2 linked regions of the Drosophila melanogaster genome follow. The protein of the gene in region 1 interacts with the protein of each later gene in a pairwise test. Each region holds a gene or a part of one and is shown on either strand. Other genes may lie near its edges. The genes, in order: CASK and Nrx-1.

Evidence for each region.
Region 2: the proteins of CASK (region 1) and Nrx-1 interact in a two-hybrid assay, tested with the Drosophila melanogaster proteins (one study listed by BioGRID).

What each region holds. Positions count from the first base shown.
Region 1 is NT_033777.3:21,819,566-21,824,830, reverse strand, and holds the start of CASK (CASK), read left to right. Parts: upstream 1-2,156; 5' UTR 2,157-2,348; intron 2,349-3,807; 5' UTR 3,808-4,125; coding exon 4,126-4,184; intron 4,185-5,064; coding exon 5,065-5,177; intron 5,178-5,265.
Region 2 is NT_033777.3:22,467,579-22,472,611, forward strand, and holds the start of Nrx-1 (neurexin 1), read left to right. Parts: upstream 1-1,899; 5' UTR 1,900-2,906; coding exon 2,907-3,812; intron 3,813-3,940; coding exon 3,941-4,417; intron 4,418-4,482; coding exon 4,483-4,794; intron 4,795-4,858; coding exon 4,859-4,975; intron 4,976-5,030; coding exon 5,031-5,033. Other genes in the region: CG5377 (uncharacterized protein), read right to left, coding at 1-404. UniProt on the Drosophila melanogaster protein: Neuronal cell adhesion protein involved in synapse formation, development of synaptic active zones, synaptic regulation and visual function. Plays a role in cell adhesion between the pre- and the postsynaptic cell.

The sequences.
Region 1 (5,265 bases):
AGAACGAGGATCGGCGACGGGAAAGAGACGGGGCTATCGCCACAGAAAGAGACGGCGAATGGAGCGAGGATATGCGGGGCAAGAAACAAGGAACTGGCAGCAACTGGGAAAGGTAACCGCGATGGGGATGGGGATGAGTCGATCGTTGGCGTTGAATTTGATTTTGATTTCACCTGAGTGGCTGAGCCTTTTTCCCTGCCCTTTTGTTGTTCTCCTTTTATCGAGTCGAGTATTTTTGTTTTCCGATTTTTTCCTTCTGCTCTGCTTACCGTGTTCCTTTTGGTGTTTTTGTTTTTTTTTTTTATTGTCAACCAACGCAGCAAACAAATGCAAAGCAACGACCTACGACTTCTCACCGTGAGTTGTGTATTATATCTCCGCTTTGTGCTTTTTTTTTATTAGGGTACAGTGGTAATTGGATAATATTTTTATATATATATATTTTTCAAGATTCGCGTTTTAAATAAAAAAACAAAATTTTTTTTTCTTTTCTATATATTTTAGCTGGCTGATACAAGTAGGTAAAACCACTTAAGAATGAGGAAGGTGTGTACTTTTTAGTTTATACCCAAACTATTTGATTGATCTCACAAATTATGAAAGAAGTTGTATAAATTAAAAAAAAAATTAATTACTTTTTTATTATTTCTGAATATTTCATAGTGCGTATAATTTAATTGGCTGCTATTTTACAATCGAAAGGTGGACATTAGTGGGTGACCACTGTTGTTATTGCTGATCATTAACACTTGTTGTTTTTGCTGCTCATCTCGAAATGGTTGTTGGTGCTTATCCTTTTCGACTATATCCCCCGTAGTAATATGGCCATATTGAGTTCATTTTCATCAGGTCTTTCTTCATTTGGCTGATGGTTTTGTGTTTGTTGCTCCCTTATTGGCTTGTTGTTTCTCTTGCATCTTATCTGTGTGTTGTTGTCGTTGGGCGTTTGGCGGTGATTGTTGTTGTTGTTGCTGTTCGAGGTTTTGTAATTGATGATGTTTATGTTTGAGTATTGGCCCCCGTCACCAGCCCCTTCCAACTGATTTAAAGATTACGCACCTACGGTTTTTATTTTTTATTTTCGAGGAGTGCGTGTGGGTTTTCCTCGTCTTCGGTTGAGGGACTCCTGTGTGTGTGCCTGGCATATTAATGCCAAGATCTTAATTTATTCTAATGGGTTTATCAAATGCTGTGGGGTAATAATAATAATAATAGATAAAGTTGAATGGCGCGAAAGAGAAGTAATGTAAATAATATGGTAATATTCAATGAGCTGTGAACGAGCCTGGCGATAAAGTAAGTTGATAAAGGTTCTGTAGTGAAAATCCCTGTATTAACACACTGGTGGCTTAGTCCAGTTAAATAAATCGTGAATCATTTTTGAAGGGGAAAATGTTTACTTTCAAGTTGATGAATGGTAATTGGCATCGTATTGCCGATAAAACTGGAAAGTGTTCGAAATTCGTATGTGCAATATTCCACAATAGCTTTATGCACTTGCTTGCGTACCGCATAAATATTTACCTCCATTTGACTTCACTCAAGCGGAAACAATTCAGTGTGCAATGAATTATCTTACTTTCGAGTAAATTTATTAAGCATGCAGTGGGTATTTATCAAAGGAAAACAACTGCCTTTTGCTGATAAGTCAAGCAAATAAAAGCATATGCAAAATGCTACCGAAGAGAAAGGAGCAGGAAAATATAATTTACTTTTTCTTTAACAAAATTAAAGTTTTAATAGTATTTATTTTCAATTTCGATAAAACATCTGTGTCGTTATGAATGACTATATTCTTAACAATATTCCAAAATTATACTTTCTCGTCCCCAAAACTTTTTTTCAAAAACTTCCGCGCAAATTTTAACAGACCAAATAAAGTTAATAACAAAATGACAGAAAAGCTTAGATACCAACGGGTTTCTGGTATTTTTCCAGTATAACCAGTTGCTTGATTCAAACAAACTTTCTTGAATTAAAACTTTGATTAACGAAGTAAGTTGCTGCAGTACCACCCTTAAATTTATTTTAAAAACAATATTTTTAATGAACACAGGTTGGTATCAATTTTCAATGGGAGAGCCGTGAACCGACTCCAAGTTCCGAACCAATCCAGCAATGCACCTGCAGCCCTGGAATTCTAGTTCGCGGCGAACCGGTTCAGTTGCAACCAGTTCTTCGCCAATCAATTCCTCACGGGCCGTGTTTGTTTTAAGTTAAAATTAGTAAATTACCCAATGCAATCAGCTTGCCAGGCGATTCGTGCTGCGCACCTAGACAATCGAGTGCTAATGCGATTCGCTAAAATGCCAAAAACCAGCGGCCGTTGAAGAATCGCTGCCAAATCGGTGGGTTTTCGTACATAAAACTATATGCGAATTGTTCGTGCCAGTGTGTGTTCGTGTGTGTGTGTGTGTGTGTGGTGTGAGTGTGGCCCCCTCTATGTGTGGCCGATAAAGGGGGCGGTGTCGTTGATAAGGGGGCGTGGAACATGAGCAATGCAAATCCTTTAGACAAAGAATCAATTTGCCAATTGTGCGACACTCGAGAGTCTCAAAAAGTCCTAAAAGCAGGGCCAAATGCACACACATAGTCAGTGAGTGAGTGTATGTGGGTGTGGGTGGGTGCGTTAGTGAGGTGGGCGGTAAGGTCGTGTGGAAAGTGTCAAGGCATTTTACAACAGCGGCACACGAGCAAGGTAAAACCCTCGAGCCCGAATACTAAAACCGAGCCAAAAACACCGCGCCCCATGCGCAGCTCTGCATTAAACATGACTACCAGAAAGTCCTTCGCGGGGATTCCCCGCAAATGCTCCGTCCTGCTCTCGCAGTCGCAACTCAGTTCTCCACATTTCGTGTGTGCATCGTAAATTGTTGCACATTTAAATATTCATGCAGCCCGGGCAGAAAGCATAGCTTATATTTTTTACGATTACAATTTTGGTGCTTTACACGAATTTCCCACGGCGCCGGCGCACTTTACATCCATGCTCGCCATCTTTCTCGCACTCCTTCGCTCTCTTTCACACTCTCTCGCTCTCTGGCTTTCTCCTTTCGGATTTTTGGAGTGCCATCAAAGTTTTGAAAAGTATGTTCAAGTGCTGGACCAAAAGGCATAATAATAGTATGGCCAAGACAAAGGTAGCGCCTCCCATCCACCCTCCCCCCCTGCGAACTTTCCCCGCGAACATCCTTGGAACGAGACCCTCGAAAAGGACACATTCTGCAGGTCCTGCTGGCTTGTTTACCTTTTCAGCTGGCCATCATTTCCGTTGCAAAATTCACAACGCCCACTGTGCGGGGATACTTCCTTCCTACCATTGGCACTTTCGACAGCATTTTGTGCATTTGTGGTGTGTGCCGCCTGTAATTGATTGGGGTTTACACCTGATATGAGTGTGATTGACATATCAAACAAGTTTCGGCCAGGCCAGTCTCATTTCCGTTGCGACACCATTAACAGTGGTCCCTCGAAAAGTGTTCCCATCACACAAGTGTCAACACGCCAGCCCAACTTTATAGTGGCATTTTCAATTTGATTGATTCAGATAGCATTATAAACTTAACTTAGTTTGTAAGTAAGATTACAAAATATTTAGGAAATTATTAGCAAATTTTCTTGATTAAAATCTGTGTATAATTTTTCACAAATGTAAACAAATTTGTTTATATTTGCGTCATCTGCTTGACAGAATTCTCGCAAAGCTTCTTGACAGTTTCTTAATTAGACGCCAAATAAATCTGATTAGCGGCCTTCAACTAATGGAAAAACTCACCTTCACCATTTTCACTTGTTATATTTTTCCAGCGCAAAATGCATTCTTAACATCAGCAGCTACGAAAACAGCAACAGCATTAGCGGCAACAACGAATCAACGACACCAATAACAATACCATTAACAACAAATCATCAGAAGAAACCGAAGGAAAACGCTCAAAGTTTTGGAGTTGCTCACTGGCCGCTTAGTTTTTTGTTTATTTTTTATGTTCGTTTTTGGAGGGCAGTAGGCGACGACGGGCAAAGGAAGCGGGAGAAGGAAAAGCGACGGACACGAAAAACAGGACACAACTCATCAATATTCGAAAAAGCAATTGAGTCGAGGCATCAATTCATCAATTATTCAAAATGACCGAAGACGAAATTCTCTTTGACGACGTCTACGAGCTGTGCGAGGTCATTGGCAAGTAAGTTAGCGCCCCACCGGCTATATCTTTAGCCGATTCTGCTGCTGACAGCTGGCATCCATGGCCATTATCTCATTATGTATTATGTATCCGCCCCGTATGCCCATCCCACCCACCCAGAAGCCGTAAATCATGCAACTATTGGCCTGGGACGAAGCCAGCTCCCCTCTATAAAAAACTTTCCCAAACGCCCAACTTTTGCATTATTCAAAAATGTATGACCAAACATTTTCTGTGCTAGTTACTTTTGCTGTGATCATCATAGTTTAGCCAGAAGTTCATTCACAAAGCTGTCAATGTTATTAAGTTGAACTTTGTTTAATTTCGTTGGAAAAATATTTTTCACTGATGTTGAAAATGTTCCATTAACACACTTCTAAAGTTTATTGAAAATGAAGTGTGAGTCACTAAATAGCACGTTTTTTAATTTTTTGCAATTTATAATCTATAAACTATAAGCAAAATGACGACCTTGAATCGCAATAGTTTTCCAAATTCAGCTTGGTGACATAGTTCAATAAAAATTAATCACGCTCATAAAACAAGATGATAGGAAATCGTTGCTTGACTTTAAATGAGTTATTGAATAGGAATTTGTAAGAAAATTAAAATTTATTTGTAAAATAATCATCAGTAATGTTATGGCAAGCTTTTGTATTAAAACCCCACGTTTGTAACTACAAAGAGAATACATAGTTGATTAAATTTCCTCTTTCTCAAGTATCTTGTTTGCTTTTAGACGCTCGGAAAATATAAATATTTTGCTTTTGTCGAAGCAAGATAAAATTTTATTCGCTCCCATTTAGACACAATCAACTTTCAATTGAAGTTTAATCCGAATTTACTTTATTCCCCCCCCATCCGGGATTGTTTCTTACAGAGGACCTTTCTCCATCGTAAGGCGATGCATACACAGGGAGTCCAATCAGCAGTTTGCCGTCAAAATCGTTGATGTGGCCAAGTTCACAGCGAGTCCTGGACTGAGCACAGCGGGTGAGGATTATATACACAATACACCTATATATATATGTATACACTCCGCTTTTATTTTTGACGGCACAATGAGACGACCTTGTTCGAT
Region 2 (5,033 bases), 650 kb from region 1:
CGACCTGCGACTATGAGCGCCGTGATGCCCCCATCGCTCCAGCCCAAAATGGAGAAGCGTGGTCTGTCCAGGGCACGCATCAAATCCACGGCTGCCTGGGCATCCTCCCGAAAGAATTCAAGGCCGAACTTGCGCTGCGGCGGCACTGATTTGCCATAACCCGGCGGATCCCAGGCGATGATGGTGTGACCCGGCAGCAGTTTCGGCAGCTGCTCGATCTGGGGCCTAAAGTCGGTCCACGAGGAACCCAGTGCTCCCGGCATCAGGAGTAGACTCCGCTCCCCACTGCCGCTCTCCACAATGTTCAAATCTGAGCCATTCACACGAACTTTCCGCTCCGTGTGCAGCAAGCGCCTGGTGATCGGGGAACGGGCACCCACAAGCCGGCACAGATTGCCCAGCATTACGTAAGCGGGATCTAACGGGGATTTTGGAGTATGGCAACAAACTTAGCTGCTTCTCAAGGGCTCTTCAGATGTCCAGAGAGGAATATTTGGCAAATTCTAATCTTTACACACGACGCCTTGTAAAGTGCACTTGATAAAGATCCGTTGATAACAGCTGATTGATAAGAACAGCTGTAAGTAAACGATCGAATTAGTGTGGCTGTAGGTGCGATGATGCCATATACCGTTAAATCAAAAGTAAATATACCAAAAAACTAATTTTAAAAGAATCGTTAATTTTTTAATAATTTGAAAAATATTTTCATATTGATATTTAGGCATTGGGTGATGCACTTGCATTTTTAAGAATGTTCCTGAAATTTAAAAGATTTTTCCATTCATTTTGAAGAATATTACTTGACAATGCCGAACTCTCCACAGATTTTAAAATAATGGTAGTTTAAAAGCCCTTGAAAGTTCAAGAGCTGCCGCTCAGTTTGATTTTAAGCTTTTCGCTCTTCCCCCAGCTTTTGGCATTCCCAATCTTAGTCCTTGTTAGTCCACTTGAACGTCACGACTCCGAAGGACAATGGACAGCACGTGCTGGCATTTGTTTAGCCTTTAGCGTGCGTTAAAATATTATTAAAAACCGTAAGTGCTTAATAGCAGGATCCTGGTCCCTGCTGTAATGGTCAGTGCGTGATTCGTGTGCTCAAATTAATGTGTTCGCCTGGACTGCGACGACGATTAATGGAGGCGACGGCCTTGCAATTGCTCTCCTAGGACGAAGGAGCAGGGTGATGGGATTTGACAGAGGCAGGACATACACCCACAATCGAGAGTAAGGGACATCACATTCCACTGCCAATGCAAATGCAAATCGAATTCGACTCCGAGATGTCGAAGTTGCGTAGTAAATGTCAAGGAATTTACACGGGTCGTCTCGGAGATAGTGAGCCCGGGGGGGTGTCAGCTTGAGTTGGTGTGTGTGAGTGTGCGTGCGGCCACAGGACACCCACGCACACAGCTGAACATGCATATGTGTGTATCCATGTGAATGTGGCATCTAATACGCTTTAGTGGTGCAGGTTATGAACCTGCGTGCTATTCGCTTATTACGCATGTGTGAGTGGGCAGCTGGTGTCTATGTGTGCGTTTGTGTGTTAGTAGTACACATATGCATGCCTCGTGCGAAGTAAGCGAGCTTTTAATTTTTGGCATTCCCACACACTACACTCAAAGCGTGCGGTGCTTTCCTTTTCCGTAGCACACTTTTTCGGGTAAATCAACAAAGTACCAATATAAACCATTAAATTCAAGATTTCCAGTAATTCTGAACGATTTTAACTTGTCTAAATGTAAAATCAGTAGTGTGAGGTACAAACTCCTTTGTCCAGTTCGATTGTAGTGCCATTTTCGAGTCGCCTAGACCGCACCAGTGGCTTTTTGTGAATAAGCTGGCGGAGCTTTCGTTATCCATTGGAAACAGTGCGAAGAAATTAAGTTTGAAATTGCAGTTCAGTCTTGTCGTGGATGCAGCGCGGATCGATATCGGAGCTAAAAGCAGCGGAAGGCGCTGCTAAGCAAATTTCGACACACAACATTTTTGTATCCCTCGAAATTGAACCGAAAAATCTGCAAAAATAAATTCAACCAACCAACAAAAACGAAAAGGACGCGTCGCGCTAAAATCCAGCCCGAAAAGTTACATAAAGCAGGAGCGACAAGAATATCGTGCAAATTCAAAGGAATAATTGTGTAATTGAAAAATCTGTGTGCAGTCTCTGCAACTAATTTCGTATCCAATCAATAGTTCAATCAATACGCATAAATAACTGATTGCTGTGGAATCAACCGCAGTAAAGCGCCCATTTTAGGGGCACTTGCTGTGAGGTGCTTAGAAAAATTTTCGCCTACATTTGCGATATGCAGTGAAAATTTTTTCCGATTTTTAGTATGTACATGTACGATGGAGCGCTCGTGGGCGCCACAAACTGCGGTGGCAGGGGTATCCGGCGAGCTTTTGGCCCAACCATAACCCCCAGTATTACTAATACAGCCGACTCGGTCGGAGAAACGGTTGTCTGACAAAGTATCGATGCAAAATATGCGCCGTTTTGAATTTAATTGCCAAAAATTATGCAAATCAAGTATACAAAATGCCGAAAACTGAAGGTGCTGAACATTAAGGACCAAAAAAATCAGGCGAAATCATAAGCAATAATCGGTGCAGTGCCGTTAACAGTCGACGTGTACCGTTAACATCCGCAGCCAACTTCGCGTGGCCGAGCTTTCGCTCTCGCGCGCTCTTACGCTCTCTCTTGGCAGGCGCGGATAAAACGGATTGCCGAGTAACACCAACACAAGGACACGCGAAAAGCTCGCGCTCAAGGACTGGAATACGCGACAGAAACACAGCGAGTGAGAGAGAGAGAGAGGGAGAAGGACACTTTACGTTTACGCGCGCAACGTGCGTAGGTGCCTCTGTGTGGGTAAGCCCGAGTGCCACCGTGCGTGTGAATGAAGGCGCCACATAGTGCAACATATCAGGATAACTATGCTGATGCGGCCATGACAGCCAGGACACGGCCAAGCATGGACATGGATCAGCAGCGAAATCGAAATCAGGCGGAGCTGAGGCTCCTGCCCGCCCAGCGCACCTCCACCTCCGCCTTTGAATCCCCCGACTTGCGGTTCAACAAGGCTCGCCGCCGGCGGAGAAGCGAGCAAGTGCCTCCCGTGGTCGTGGAATACCGTCGCTCCTACCGCGTGCTCATCGTCAGCGCCCTGCTGGTCAGTCTGGCGGCCAGTTTCGTGACGCTCAGCGCCGGATTCCAGCTAGATGGATCGCAAAACTCCTTCTACACCTTCCGCAAGTGGTACACCGGACTGAATGGGACCCTCGAACTGGAGTTCAAAACGGAACAGCCCAACGGATTGGTTCTCTACACCGACGACGGCGGCACCTACGACTTCTTCGAACTGAAGCTGGTGGAAGGAGCACTGCGGCTGAGATATAACCTTGGTGGCGGAGCTCAAATCATCACCGTGGGTCGGGAACTGCACGACGGCCACTGGCACAAGGTGCAGGTCCTGCGGAACGATGAGCAGACATCGCTCATCGTGGACGGCGTCTCCCAGCAGCGATCGACCAAGGGGAAGGAGTTCCAGTTCGGCAAGTTCGCGAGCAACTCGGACGTCTATGTGGGCGGTATGCCCAACTGGTACAGCAGCAAGCTGGCCCTGCTCGCCCTGCCATCCGTTATCTTCGAACCGCGTTTCCGTGGCGCCATCCGCAATCTGGTCTACGCGGACCAGCCGGGCGGCTCCACCAGGCGCCAGGAGATCAAGCAGCAGCGCGACATCAAGTGCGGCGATGTGCCCTGCGATCACGGAGAGCTGCCCGCCCGTGAAAGGCCGCTCAGGGTGAGTCCATTAGTCATTGATATACACAATACAACTTTTTATATTCTATTTAAATGATATTGATAATAAGAAAAAAGCCTCTATTTATATGTATCCCTGATTTGGTAAATAATCCTTTAATCCTGCAGGGTGTTCGGGGTGGCAACACAACCGATGCCTGTGAACGGAATGATCCTTGCCAGCACGGCGGCATCTGCATATCCACTGATTCCGGTCCAATTTGCGAGTGTCGAAACCTCGAGTACGATGGCCAGTATTGTGAGAAGGAGAAGGCGCCATCGGAAGCAACGTTCCGCGGTACACAGTTCCTCTCCTACGACTTGGGCCAGACGGGCGCCGAGCCGATAGTGAGCGCCCAGGATGCCATATCCTTCTATTTTCGCACCCGCCAGCCGAACGGTCTGCTTTTCTACACTGGCCACGGCACGGACTATCTAAATCTGGCGCTGCGTGATGGAGGCGTCTCCCTGACCATGGGTCTGGCTAATGGCAAGCAGGAGATGCACATAAAGCCCTCAAAGGTGCGCTTCGACGACCACCAGTGGCACAAAGTCACCGTGCACCGTCGCATTCAGGAGATCTCCTCCATAACCAGCTTCTGTCGGGTGGGTAACTGTTCATAGATTTTCTTGGTTCTTTATTCGAAATGGAGTTTTTTTTATCCCTGTAGCTGGTTACCGTGGTGGATGATGTCTATACGGATCACTCCCACATTGCTGGCAAGTTCACCATGCTCTCCTCCTCGCGGGTTTACGTTGGTGGTGCTGTTAATCCTCGAGCGCTTTTGGGTGCCCGTGTGCACACTAACTTCGTGGGCTGCCTGCGCAAGGTGGAGTTCTCAGCGGATACGCTTAATCTGAACCTCATAGACCTGGCCAAGAGCGGTTCCAAGCTGATCCAGGTTGCTGGCAATCTGGAATATCAGTGCCCCAGTGGCGATCCACAGGATCCCGTGACCTTCACCACTCGCGAATCGCATTTGGTAAGTTGAAACCTGTATGAAAATACGAAAAGTAATGAATTAATATTTGATTGTTATTTTAAAGGTCCTTCCTCCCTGGGAAACTGGCAAGCAGAGTTCTATAAGCTTCAAATTTCGCACCAAAGAACCGAATGGCATCATTGTCCTGGCCACAGGATCCAAGCAACCACGGGCCAAAAACGTGAGTCTACTCATTAGGTTATCTTGAGCCATTTTGCATAATTTGAATCCATCAGCCC